2 linked regions of the Arabidopsis thaliana genome follow. The protein of the gene in region 1 interacts with the protein of each later gene in a pairwise test. Each region holds a gene or a part of one and is shown on either strand. Other genes may lie near its edges.

Region 1 (7,298 bases):
CAAGGAGGACTACTAAGGTATGATGGTGTTTACCGGATAGAGAAATGCTGGAGGATAGTTGGAATACAGGTACACACACATATAGCAAACAATGAAACAACAATAAATTTCCCCTCGCCTTCTTTTCTATGAAGTGACACATTCTTCTATGGTGTTCCATATATAGGGCACTCATAAGATGTGCCGTTTCCTGTTTGTTAGATGTGACAATGAGCCAGCTCCATGGACCAGGTTTGATCTACTTCGTGACATCGTGCGCCTTTTATATATGTATATACCATTTGTATTGTTTAATGATGTGATATTATATTGCAGTGATGAGCATGGAGATCGCCCAAGACCTTTGCCTAATGTTCCTGAGCTTAATATGGCCACAGACCTGTTTGAGAGAAAAGAAAGTCCATCATGGGATTTTGATGTAAGTTCCAAAGACATCTAACATTTCTTTATTTGTAGTTGTACGTACCCACTTATTATATGCTTACTCGATCAGGAAGGTGAGGATCGTTGGAGATGGATGAAGCCACCACCTGCTAGTAAAAAGGCAGTTAAAAATGTTTTGGATCCTGAGGAGAGGAAACTTTTGAGGGAAGCCATAAAGTCGGCAAACCCGAATACCATGAGGGCAAGACTTTTGAAAGGTCAGTGTGTCCAAGAAGTTAAAATGTTTATAGTATCAAGAAGTTATGTTTCCAAAATGTTTATTTTAGTATCTCAACTGTCATTGGGATTTTGATGATGCAGAATTTAAGTGCCAGATCTGTCAGAAAGTGATGACTAATCCTGTGACAACGCCTTGTGCTCATAACTTCTGCAAGGCTTGTTTGGAATCGAAGTTTGCTGGGACAGCTCTAGTGAGAGAGAGAGGCAGCGGTGGACGAAAATTACGTTCACAAAAGAGTGTCATGAAGTGCCCTTGTTGCCCAACGGACATTGCCGAGTTTGTCCAGAACCCTCAGGTGAAACATCATCATCATATATGTCTTCTTTTGGATTCTAAGTGAAACTGAGGAATAATCTCTTTGGTGAAATGTGTGTAAACAGGTCAATAGAGAAGTAGCGGAGGTGATAGAGAAGCTGAAGAAACAGGAAGAGGAGGAAAACGCAAAGTCTTTAGATGAAGGTCAATGCTCAGGTACCAGCCATGAAGAAGAAGATGATGAGCAACCAAAGAAACGGATTAAGTTGGACACTGACGCAGAAGTTTCTGCGACTGTTGTGGAATCTGACATGAAGTAAGTAAGTAGGGGCCTTTCCAATGGCTCTTTTGGACAAGTAAACTTGGAGACTATGTTTATGTTTTGGTACCAAAGACTGGAAAAACTCTCTTACCTTATTTAGTACGCAACATTTGTGGAACGTACTTATTCCTATCTGTTATTTTGCTGCAACTGAATATTGAACGTTGCTTGGTTTTCAAGCTTTGTTTTGTTGTTATGTTATTTCAAGCATTTCTCTGTTTCTAGAGATTTGTTTGGATTTATAATTTCAGTTTATTTTATTCTTCTAATAAATTGGTATCGTTGATGAAAAAATGGTTTTCTGGTTTGATTTTTTTTTCTTTTTATTTTCCTTATTTAGGATTTTGATTTTTCTGGTTTATATATTGGTTTAGAACTCGGATGTCGGATGAATACTGATATTTTTTTTGGTTTGATATGTTTTGTTTTGGTTTTATTACTTATGTGGGCTAGTTTGTTTCTAAACATTCTGATAATAACAAATCGGTTTAGTTAAAGATCATCTAAAACCTTTTAAACAGTCTGCTACCCCCCCCCCCCCCCCCCCCCCAAAAAAAAAGAAAGAAGCCTAAAACAGTAATAAGTAAGAAGATTTCAAACTTAAAAGACAAACTAGCATTTAATTCTGTAACATTTTTAAAACCCAATACTATTTTTTTTTCAAAGTGAAAATTCTGTTTGATGCAAATGCCTAAAAAAATTGCAAGTTAAGATAGTGGACGATAGCACCATTGTTAATACCATTGCGCCGCCGAAAAAGCATAGGAGCAGTGTCCTTTAAACCAAAAAAAGAGCATAGGAGCAGTAGTTTGAATCAGCAATTAATCTGATGAAATCCCCCATTATATATCAGTGTTCTTCATTATACACCAACAAACATAGCACTGATTTATAATGAAGAACACTGATAGATAATGAAGAACCTATTTATCTGTAGAGGAGGAAAATGATCATAAATTGTTAGGTCAATAAATGTTAAGTTAGGCTTTTCAAGCAATCTACATAAGTTTTGTTAAAACACTCTCTTAACAAGCCACACTACCATATGAAAAAAATAAATTATTGGCCACATGGAGTCAATAATATCTCTCTTAATATTTTATAACCGAATCGACCTTCTTCTAGAGTTTTTCTTTGTAACGCCTTAAACAAGACTATCCATATTCTTCATAGAATTTTTTGGCCTTATATAAGGAGGAAAGAGTTCTCAGGATCTCCATCAAAATTCTGCAATTTCTGAATTCTGATCATTGAAATTTTACAACCCTAGCTTCAGCCATCCGTTCTGCAGCTGGTCCATGCCATGGCTTATGCTCCATCATGAAACATGTTTTTTGGATGATCCAAATATGTCCAAACCTCGGATGAACAACTTCAAGATTTCATGGGAGAAATAATCAATTTACTTGTGAGGGTTAATGTTTACTGAATCAACTGGTATGAAAGTTTTAACACCCATCTTGGAATTGGTAAGCTATTCTCATCTTTCTATGAAATCACTATATTCTTAGAATCAATATATAGTTATAAATAATGTGATCGACAAAAAAATTACATAAGCATCTTGGCACGAGATTGTTGATTACATAACATTTTGGCTCCTAAAAAAAAAAAACACTGAACGTAGATGAAAGTGGAAGCTAAATAGTAAATACAGCTTTTGCTCTACCTTTAATTCTCTTTTTAATATGATGACCAGAAGATCATCAAATGATTTTAAGACTTTTCTGCTCACTATTTTAAGACTTTTAAGACTTTTCTGCTCACTATTTTTCCTTCCCTTCAGATGATTTCAAATATGCTTTATTGTTGTCTAATAATACGATGAAGTAGGTCAATGAGCATTGAAAAAGAGCTGATTATGAGAAAAGAAAGATACTACATTTCTTCGTTTCTGGTCATGAATTATTCTGCTATGAACTATCAATACAGAGACAATTACAATGTCTTGTTCTCAAAAAGCGTCTAAAGCATAATTTACCTTTGTAAAAACTATTAAGGAGAATCATATATATCAATTCCTTTGATTACTCCTCCAATCACTCTCGTTAATATCTCGTATAGAATAATATCTTTCTCTATAAGTACTCTGTAGAAACGTGTATATAAAAGAGCTCTTGTAATCATTAATAATACAACACAATCTATATTCATAATAAAAACTTTGATATTGGTTACTACAACCTCCAAGTTATTGCTTTTTATATTCTTACTGAAAATACCTTTTCTGTCTGCATACGAACAAAACATATCTCGAGATAGTACCGTTCATGTTTCTTTTACAATGTCAGATACAAAATTACATAATTATTTCCCATACTAACAAAACTATAAATGAAATTAACTCAATTGTCAAATTAAATGTGGTATCCCGAATTATCCCCTACTATATACAAAATTAGATAATGTCCCTACTATTTACGGGACAAGTTTTTCAAAATATAATCTTAGATTATGGAAATTATATATAAATAAAATATGGTAAAATCTTCATTAATTATATTTTTAAAATAATTAGATGTTTTGTATATTATTTTGTGAGAAACAAAATTTGTTAGTCATAAACTAAATACCAAATTTTAAAAATAATAGATAACTGAGAAAAAAAATGAAATCTGATTCCAAAAAAGAAAAGAGTTGAAAGATAGAAATAAATAAGAAAAAATCATCAACTAATATGGAAGACAATTCTATATTTTTTTCTTATTTAATATTTTAACTATTTTCATTTTAAGGGTATTTCATGTATTTAACTACATATTTAACATTTTATTTTATTCTGGTTATTATAATAGTAATCACTCATCACTTATACATCCAGTTGTCTCGTCTCTTCACCTTTCAATCAGAAGAACAGTGAAGTTGAGATCGTAAGTTTTCTTTCCCTCTAATCTCTATCTCTTTTTGCTTCAATTTTGATGTTTTGCATTTCCATCTATCTGATCTGAGTAACAATCTGAATTTCGTATTTGTTGCCCAATTCTGAATTCTTGAATTCAATGATATACACTTAGCCTGATATGAACCAAAATCAATCAAAGTTTTGTCTTTTCATAATCTGATTATTCAATTTTCGATCTTGTTTTATGAACTATTCTCAGATCCATCATGAGCGTGAATACCAATGAAGGGTCCAAGAACCTGTGGAAGGATCTTCCTTTAGAGCTTCTGAGTTCAGTAATGACTTTTCTTGAAATCAAAGATAACGTAAGAGCTTCTGTTGTATGCAAATCGTGGTTCGAAGCCGCAGTTTCAGTTAGGGTCATTGACAAATCTCCTTGGCTCATGTACTTCCCTGAAACCAAGAACACTTACGACTTTTACGATCCATCGAACTGCAAGAAGTATACAATGGAGCTGCCTAAATCGTTAGTTGGCTTTATTGTTCGTTACTCGAAAGATGGATGGTTACTTATGAGCCAAGAAGATTCATCACACTTTGTCTTGTTCAATCCATTTACTATGGATGTTGTAGCCTTGCCTTTTCTTCACTTGTTCACTTATTATCAGTTAGTGGGTTTCTCTTCTGCTCCTACATCTAGTGAGTGTGTGGTGTTTACTATCAAGGATTATGATCCAGGCCATGTCACTATCCGTACTTGGAGTCCGGGTCAAACGATGTGGACTTCAATGCAGGTTGAGTCTCAATTCCTTGATGTTGATCATAACAATGTTGTTTTCTCAAATGGCGTGTTTTACTGTCTTAACCAAAGAAACCACGTTGCGGTTTTTGATCCGTCTTTACGTACATGGAATGTTCTTGATGTACCGCCACCTAGATGTCCCGATGATAAGAGTTGGAATGAAGGAAAGTTCATGGTAGGTTATAAAGGTGACATACTTGTGATTCGTACATATGAAAATAAGGACCCTTTGGTGTTTAAACTCGATCTTACTCGAGGTATTTGGGAGGAGAAGGATACACTCGGTAGTTTAACTATTTTTGTGAGTAGGAAGTCATGTGAATCGAGAACATATGTTAAGGATGGGATGTTAAGGAATAGTGTATACTTCCCTGAGTTGTGTTACAATGAGAAACAAAGTGTGGTGTATTCGTTTGATGAAGGGAGGTACCACCTGCGAGAGCATGATCTTGATTGGGGAAAACAGCTTTCATCTGATAACATTTGGATCGAGCCTCCCAAGAACGCTTTTGAGCTAGTTTAAAAGTATTTTTGCAATGTTTGGTGTTTGAACTTGGCACATCTTAGAGATGATGACTTAGCTCCACTAATATGTTCTTTTGTTGCTATTGTTATTGTTATGTCAATTTTTTGCTCACTGTCTAAGCTCCAAGCTCCTCTTGTTCCTTATTCGATAAAAACAAAATTTCTCTCACACTTCAAGATTTTCATGGGATATAGCTTTATAATAAAAAGATTAAAATGAAATCATACTTTTATTTTGTCCAACTTACATAATACTTTTGGTGAATGAGACATTAAAGTATATCACAAAATGCATAAGGTCCATTAGCATGTTGTATTTTTCATTGTGGACACTTGTTTCGACTATGTTACGAAATAGAACATGCATTAGGATTTTCATCACTAAACATGTAATAATGTTTGGCCATCTCCTTTTCATAATCAGTAATTGGGTTGAGAGATACATTTCTATCCTTGTCGATTTCTTCATAAATATCTGCAAGTCTTTTTTCTTCTTCAGCCTCCCTTAACATCATTTCAGATTCCCACTCCTGTCTTTCCTTTTCAGCTTTTTTAATCTTTTGATGCATCTTCTTATTAAGTTTTCTCGACAGTTCATCCTTATCAAAGTTTCCAATGACCACAACCTTTTTATTTTCTAGATCCACTACATATGTTTCAACACCTAATCATACATAATTCAGACAATTTTATTAAAATAAATCACACATTATATATTATATGAAATTGATAAAACAGATATTATACCTGTGCATTTGGAAATAACTTTTCCAAAATCTTTCTCGTATTTCTCGCAGAGAAATGGTATATCGAACTCCACTTCCATTATACTACAAAACATCATATTAAGAATAGTTAATACAATATGGTTAACAAAAGAAAAAAACACATGTAGTATCTTAAACAAGTAGTTAAAATATTGTTGCTATTTTCTTAGTAAATATTAATTACCTTGTTTCAGGTTTATCAGCATTTTGTGGAACTATTTCATCTTTACTATCTTCATTTTGAACTGTATCATCTACCTTATCTTCACTAGATTTCTCATTCTTCGTCACAATTTCTATCTTTTTACCAGTTTTTTTCTTGAGAGTCTTCACCAATTTATGCAAATTGAAATCACCACTGACCAGGACTTTTTGATCATCTATATCCGTTATGCATGATTTAACTCCTAATAACAACATTGTACAACTTAGAAAAACGTAGATACTATGTAGTTACATTATACAAAATCTGTATTGTGAATAAATATATGTATTGTAAATAAAATTTTCTGATTTTCTTACCTTCGAATTGGCAAGCAACTTTTCTGATCTTTTTCGCGCAATCTTCAAAATTCATCGAAATCTTCAACTTGGCATCTGTTACAATTACACTAGAGAAAATTTGAAGAGAAAAAAAAAAAAGTATCAGTGTAAGAGAAATATATAAAACACACAAAAGTTTTATGTAAAATACATAGATATGTAGAGATTTAAGTAATCTACTTGTCGAGAATGTTTTCTCTTGATTTCGTTAACCAACAACCCATCATAGTTGTGATTCCTTGTGGCTGCTTTAACCAACAACCCATCATAGTTAAATTCCGAAGACAAAAATTAAGTGTTTAAGAATCTTTTCGCTTAAAATCTCTTTTGATCTCTAACACTTAAAACTATATTTACACACATGTGCATATATAGAAGAGAGTTTTCATACATTGAACATGACTAATCAAATTATATAAATTAGCATATAGCCTATTTTATATAAACATTTACACAAAAAATTAATTAATACATATCTTATTATACTTTTTCAAAATCATAATTCTTATCTTTATATTTAATGTATCCAAATTTTGTAATTAGTATTTAAGAAATATTTTTTTCTCAATTAGTATTTT
Region 2 (7,551 bases), about 14 Mb from region 1:
ACTAGATGTACATAAACTTGACAACCAACAATATTGAATTTGGTCATGATTAATGTTTTTTTCTTTTTGGGATAAAATGTGAAATTACTACCAAAAGGAATTATTGTTTTACAAAGGTTTTAAACTAAACTAAATTTGTTCATGATTATGTTTAATATATGGTATCCATACATACATAAATTACAATTTCCTTACAAAGATTTTCTTTACTGGACTAACGTAAATAAATTAATAACAATAACCTATCTATATGGATACACTTGAACAGCAATTATACGAATATGGAGCAAGACAAATAGCAGTTCTAGGAACACCACCACTTGGCTGCGTACCAATACTAAGAACTCTAAAAGGAGGTCTTCGTAGAGAGTGTGCTCAAGATATAAACTATGCTTCTCAGCTTTTCAACGTCAAACTCTCCAACATTTTGGACCAATTGGCAAAAAACCTACCAAATTCCAATCTCATTTACATTGACATATACTCTGCTTTCAGTCACATCTTAGAAAATTCAGCAGATTATGGTAATATTAGAACGTGAATATTTAATTCTTATAAGTACTAAACTATACAAGCTCATGTATATATAACTTGAGTTGAGAATTAATGCAGGGTTTGAAGAAATAAAGAGAGGTTGTTGTGGAACTGGATTTGTGGAAGCTGGTCCACTTTGCAATCGATTCACAACATTTGTGTGCTCCAATGTATCTGCTTACATGTTTTGGGATAGTCTCCATCCTACCCAAAGATTCTATAAAATCTTAACCAAAATACTTTTTGAGAAATACATCCACAATTTAAATTGAGTAGTGTGATCAAATGACTCACATTGTATGCTTTTATTTTTCTTAAAGCTTGTGCAGTTGTTATAAATTGTACAAAATTATTGTAAGTCACTATATTGATTACCAATTGATTTTAAGAGAAACTTTTATCACTCTTCACATGCTTTCAAAGATCAAATCCATATCAATCAGTTCATTTGATCGACAGCTATTCTGTTTATGTAATGATTATCTTTTTCTTTTTAGGTCATGATGATGTAATAATATTATAGCTCTCTGAAGTAAAGTAATCAACTAGATAACATGAAATATAACCAAATTATATGATTTAATCTGCACATTGTTGTGGGGGTAAATCAGTCAAATAATTGAATAAGACTGAGTGGTAAGACTTGATTTGCTGGATTGGCTAAATATATATTATCAGTCCAGTGATACAGGGAAGAGTGTTGTTCTTTAACCACAAAAACAAACAAGTTTCATACCATTATTCAAGGGACTCGATGAACTCTCTCAACCCTTCTTCACCTTTGTATAAAGTATGACGATAAAGTAAACAAATTCTTTAAAAAAAAAGAAAAACTAAATTGAAACTAAAATTCGAAACAAAAAAAAATACTAACAAAATAAAACCTAAAATTTATTTGAGATGGAAAATGCAAACATCAAAGTTCTAGTAGTATTATTGTCTATATGGATTTCATGTGTTCAAGCTCAAACTGGAACATTTTCAGCAGTTCTTGCATTTGGAGATTCGATTCTCGATACTGGTAACAACAATTTGCTCATGACAGTATCAAGAGGCAATTTTTTGCCATATGGACGCGATTTTCCTCATCGTATTCCTACAGGAAGATTCGGGAATGGAAGAGTTCTATCAGATTTAGTTGGTACTAATTGTTCTCTATACAACATATATATATAAGACCAATTTTCTCTTTCACATTCTTTAACCTAATGAGTAATCAAATAGTTCGAGAATCATTCTATAATGAAAATGTACATGGTATATATGTATGTAGCCAGCGGTTTAGGGGTAAAAGATCTTTTACCTGCTTTCCGGAGCCCATTTCTTAAAAATAGTGAACTCGCTACCGGCGTTTGTTTTGCATCCGGTGGTTCAGGGTTAGACAAATTCACTGCATCTATACAGGTAAATCTACTTGTTATGTACTTCTTACTTTCAATAAGATAAAGTAATATATGTTCTTACTCATTTACTATATGTGCAAACTATATAGGGGGTTATATGGGTACAAGATCAGGTGAGTGACTTTCAAAGATACTTAGAAAAGTTAAACCAACAAGTTGGAGATGCAGCTAAAGTCAAAGAGATTATAGCCAATGCTGTGATTCTAGTGTCTGCTGGTAATAACGATCTTGCCATCACATATTTTTCAACTCCGAAGAGACAAACGAGATACACTGTCCAAGCATACACTGATATGCTCATCGGTTGGAAAACTACCTTCATAAATGTATACAACACACATTTATTTATAACTTTTTTTCTTCATAATATTGTTCTACCTATAATGATTATTTTGTATGAATAACAGAGTCTATATGATCTAGGAGCTAGAAAATTTGCAATTCTTGGAACGTTACCGTTAGGGTGTTTGCCAGGGGCGAGACAAATTACCGGAAATTTGATATGTCTTCCGAATGTAAACTATGGTGCTAGAGTTTATAATGACAAAGTAGCTAACTTGGTCAATCAGTACAACCAAAGGCTTCCCAATGGCAAATTCGTCTACATCGATATGTATAACTCACTTCTTGAGGTCATCAATAATCCTAGCCAATACGGTAAAACATTGAGTAACACACGCAAATTTTGAATATATATGGTAGAAAAAACAAGGGTGCTAATTTCTACATTGTAATACATTTCAGGGTTTACGACGGCAAAACCATGTTGTTGCTCGGTGATGACTCCGATTCCGTGTTTAAGATCTGGTAGTCACGTGTTCTGGGACTTTGCCCATCCTTCTGAAAAAGCCTATAAAACTGTTCTACCTTAGATCCTCAGTACCATCCAAAGCAACCTCGCCTAGTCACTAATTTTCTCTTTCTTTTTTATATTTAGACATGAGAACCATGAACCTTGGTTTGAATATGATTAGTTCCTCGATCGACGATGAGCCGCTTGTAGGTCTCTATTGTTAAGCTTGATTTATGTGTTCTCATCAATTAATCAGAATCAGTGATAATTTCATTTGCAATAATTTTGGTGCTTCTTAGTTTACCAAACCAGAAAAGTTATGTGTTTGGAAAAGAAGAAAAAAATACTAGAAGAAGATAAAAGATTTCCATCCAACACAAATACAAAGATCAACAAATGAGAGAAATACAACACAAATAAATATGTTATTAATTTTGGTTTGTTTAGTGTAACGCAATATTTTTCCCAAAAATTGTGGTGTTTGTTACCTACTTTTTACATTTTCCTTGATATTCACTACAAAATACCCAAATAATAATTCATAATTTCACATAGATTTTTACATACAAACGTGGAGGTTTTCTTTGATTAAAACATAAAAACCCTAGTCAATGATTTTTGCACACGTAGATAAACTGTATTTTCTGAAATCAGATGTAAATCTGAAAAAGTAAATATTATTAACGGAATACAGCTAAGGTGAAGTTTGTGGAAAAGTAAAAATATTTACTTTATTTAAAACAACATAAATTTTCCATTTTTTAAAAACTTAAATTTCCAATATTTGTTTTACTTTTTACTGTTCTCCTATTAGTAAAAGGAGTAGATTAACTTAAAAGCAATAAGCCGGCAAAAAAAAAAAAACTTAAAAGCAATAAACCGACTTGAATACCAATTAAGAAATTGGCTATAAATAAGGCTCCAACTTCCCAAACCTTGACACCATCACAACAATCAATCGCAGCGCCGATTCTCCTTCAAAAACTTTTCCTAAGTCGTCACTTTTTACGATGGCAGAAACGAAGAAGATGATCATCCTTAAGAGCTCCGACGGTGAATCCTTCGAGATCGAGGAAGCCGTCGCTGTTAAGTCCCAGACGATTAAGCACATGATTGAGGACGACTGTGCCGATAACGGAATTCCACTTCCCAATGTCACCGGAGCCATCCTCGCCAAGGTTATTGAGTATTGCAAGAAGCACGTTGAAGCCGCTGCTGAAGCTGGTGGAGACAAGGATTTCTATGGTTCCGCTGAGAACGACGAGCTTAAGAATTGGGACAGCGAATTCGTCAAAGTCGATCAGCCTACTCTCTTCGATCTCATCTTGGTTAGTAAAGTCGCTTTCATTGTTTAGGTTTGATGTTGTTAGAATTAGGGTTTTTAATTTGGGGATTTAGGTTTGATTTTGCAGGATTCTGTTAGGGTTTTAGTGTGTTGAATGTCGTTTTGATTTGACTAATCGTTTTGGTTCTTTGGTTTGTACAGGCTGCGAACTATTTGAACATCGGTGGACTTCTTGACCTTACGTGCAAGGCCGTGGCTGATCAGATGAGAGGCAAAACTCCAGAGCAGATGCGTGCACACTTCAACATCAAGAACGATTACACACCTGAGGAAGAGGCGGAGGTTCGCAATGAGAACAAGTGGGCGTTCGAGTGATTGGATCGGATCTGAAGGGTGTTTAGGAATCTCTAGTCTTTCTATTTAGATGTGTTTAGCTTTCAAGATTTCGGATTGTTTTTTTTTTCTTTCTTTTTCTCTTCGATTGGAGTTGTCCTTGTCGATGAAAACCTAATGCTTTGTTCTACTAACAACATCTATTGGTTTTTATGAGAAATATTTGAGAGAAAGTGTTGGTCTTGCTTAATCTTTTTGCTCTTTATACATGAATGTGTTCTCTTTAGATTATCGTTAACGTTCGCTATCGTTGTCGTCTTTGCTGGTTACAACGAATGGACTTCTCACATTGTACATTCCGTTAGACCATGTTATAGATCCAAACGCATCGTCCTTGAGTATTGTTGTAGTAGATGAAAAGATCACTTGGTAGCTGAGTTTATCTCCTATCTTCCTGAAGTGTAGCCTTCTTGGTATAACTCTGACTAGTAATCCTTCTGGTGCATCGATACTCACAGTGTAGACTGTATCTTCATCTCCAATGAGGCGTGATGCTACATTTGTCACTGTTCTGCTTACCCTTCTGCTTTCTTTTCCATTGAAGTTAGAAATCGAGATTGATGGGTAGTTGATGTTAGATATGTCTCCCCTGTTGCTTTGTTCAGGACAAGCAAAACCTTGTGGTATGCGGTTTGATATCTTTTTGATCTGATCAGATGTAAATCCATAGTAGCCGAGGAAGTTTAGGTAGTCCATGTGATTGGTTTCATAAATCAGTCCTGGTGATGAAGGTCCAAATATAGTAACCTGCCCAGCACCAAAGTCATAAGGTGTGGCCTTTTCTCCTGTTTCTGTAGTTATATGGGAACCTGTGTTGGTCATTTGCACGGCTGCAGATACAGTTGACTTGGGTTAACTCTAGCTGATCAATCATCCGTAACTGGTATCTACTTGATTTTGATTTCTCACCTGTTGTCATGATGGCAGATCTGATTGCTGCAGGACTCCATGAAGGGTATCTGGATTTGAGACGAGCAGCAATCCCGGAGACATGGGGACATGACATTGAAGTCCCTGATTCAATGTTGAAGAGTGGCGGTGGCTTGCCTTCTGGTGCTGCATTTCTGTCACCGACTAACCACGATGCTAGTATGTTGACCCCTGGTGCTGCAATATCAGGCTGTAACAGGTTTATCAATATTTTGTTTTTGAAGTTTCTGTGAATACTGTTGAGATCATGTTTATGATGAATATTAGGGCTTATACCTTGAGGATGCTTCTGGTAAGCAAGTAAGGACCTCTTGATGAGAAGGATGGTATGGATGGAGCTAACATGTGTCCTGTTCGTGATCTTGTAGGCATGATTGTTGCAATTGGTTCTCTACAATATGGATTATGATATATTAGTTCTGTTTTTTTTTTTTTTTTGGGTAAAAATATTATTATTAGTTCTGTTTGAAAGCAATGTCTTGTGAAATGAGACATCTTAAACCTTGTTGAATTTATGTAGGACATGATTTGTATGCCGTCCTCTGGTTTTATTATTGTCACTAGAAAGGAGGGATCAATAAAAGACAGATCCATTGACTCGTCATCAACAAGTACCATACCGATACCTCCAAGTCTCTTAACCTCGTCGCTTTTCCACTGGATCACCTGGTTATCAAGATCACTGTCACACACAACAATCTTTCCCTTAACAATGGTTTGGTCTAGTGTATCAGGTGCGCAGTTCCTGAAGGTTTGCAGTTGTGTTGTCTTGTTAGTATAGGTATAGCAAAGTTACTCTATAATTTTACGAGGCAACTATTACCTAGCAGCTTCCTCATTAGCATCAATCTTCTTGGCTGATCGTGCGTGTATAAGTGGGTAAGCCTGTGTTTTATCGATATTGGCAATATTTATTCCAAAACCCTGCAAAAGAAATTCTTTAAGATGTTATGTGAATGGAGATTTGTCCGTTGATTGGCTTTTCCTTCTTACCTCGATTAATCTGTTTTCATCTCCTCCCAGAAGAATGTTGGACTCAAAGCCACGGTCAATAGTGCTGGCAGCAACAGTGATCATCCATGGAGCAGCATTAAACACACTTTGACTCGATGGGCCAGAATTTCCTACAGAGCAAACAACAGTGATCCCTCTTTCCACGGCATGAAATGACCCGATGGAAAGCGGATCTTCAAGTAAATTGTCTGGCCATAAGCCCATTGATATGGATATAACATCAACCCCATCTGCGATTGCATCATCAAATGCAGCTAGTATGCTCGAGCCACGACATCCCAGGAGTGAGCACGCTCTGTACATAGCTATTCTTGAACTTGGTGAACCTCCTCTCATGATTCCACTTGCCAGGCCATAGTAGGACGCATTTGCTATTATTTGCCCTGCTGCTATTGATGCCACATGTGTCCCGTGCCCCAAAAAGTCTCGTGGTGTCTCATAATCGGGGTCTAAGAAGAATGACGAATTGTAATACCTTGCTCCTATCAGTTTCCTGTTTATCCAAGTTTGAGGTGGTAAATTCAAACATATATCGGATCTCTACATGTGTTCTACTTTCCTCAGTCTCAGCTTACCTATTGCAACGGAAAGAATCAGGTTGTGTCTTCTTCCCTCTCATGCAAGTGCCCTTCCATTTCTCTGGGACTGGACCCATGTGCCTGTCGTTAAAGCTCTGCGCCTCGGGCCATATTCCTGTTTTCTCCATCAGGATATGCTGCATTGAGTATTTGTTTTACTGGAAGTAGATAAAAAGCGCATATAAATATTTCATCACTTCATACTGCTCACCTGAATCAAGGAAGCCGATAATGGTGTCTCCTTCATGCATTTCGGATTCTTGTTCATAGTTCATTTCGGTGAAGTAAGTATCTCTTTGATAACTTTCTTGCACCAAGAAATCCCATGAACGTGTGGTGTGGAGCTGTAACATCTGGTCAGGGAAGACAGATAGTACTCCCGGTTGCTTGGCTATGAGATGAGCTTCATCTTCTGATAAATGGGCTGCGAATCCAGAGAATCCATGTTTGTATCTGTGCATGGGGGTTTTGCCGCTCCTGATGCAAGTAAGATACTGTCTTAATATTTTCATAACATGAATCAATGGTTAGAAAATCTAAAGAGTTCTGGAGTTAGATATCACCGTTGTAACAATGAGCTCAGAAGTTCAACATGGTCATTGTCTGTTGAGCCATCAGAGG

The links.
Region 2: the proteins of AT1G57790 (region 1) and SK4 interact in a two-hybrid assay, tested with the Arabidopsis thaliana proteins (2 studies listed by BioGRID).

Annotation. Positions count from the first base shown.
Region 1 is NC_003070.9:21,402,688-21,409,985, reverse strand, and holds AT1G57790 (F-box family protein), read left to right. Parts: upstream 1-4,029; 5' UTR 4,030-4,111; intron 4,112-4,342; 5' UTR 4,343-4,349; coding exon 4,350-5,408; 3' UTR 5,409-5,644; downstream 5,645-7,298. Other genes in the region: VIM5 (zinc finger (C3HC4-type RING finger) family protein), read left to right, coding at 1-69, 167-231, 316-418, 494-641, 745-959, 1,045-1,239; AT1G57780 (heavy-metal-associated domain-containing protein), read right to left, coding at 5,758-6,074, 6,158-6,240, 6,362-6,581, 6,700-6,788, 6,901-6,986.
Region 2 is NC_003070.9:6,982,690-6,990,240, forward strand, and holds SK4 (SKP1-like 4), read left to right. Parts: upstream 1-3,622; 5' UTR 3,623-3,740; coding exon 3,741-4,058; intron 4,059-4,216; coding exon 4,217-4,390; 3' UTR 4,391-4,642; downstream 4,643-7,551. Other genes in the region: AT1G20132 (GDSL-like Lipase/Acylhydrolase superfamily protein), read left to right, coding at 269-524, 613-806; AT1G20135 (GDSL-like Lipase/Acylhydrolase family protein), read left to right, coding at 1,435-1,675, 1,808-1,938, 2,027-2,263, 2,345-2,594, 2,682-2,809; AT1G20150 (Subtilisin-like serine endopeptidase family protein), read right to left, coding at 4,643-5,238, 5,318-5,528, 5,615-5,729, 5,841-6,083, 6,162-6,262, 6,332-6,845, 6,928-7,045, 7,142-7,407 and 1 more. UniProt on the Arabidopsis thaliana protein: Involved in ubiquitination and subsequent proteasomal degradation of target proteins. Together with CUL1, RBX1 and a F-box protein, it forms a SCF E3 ubiquitin ligase complex. The functional specificity of this complex depends on the type of F-box protein.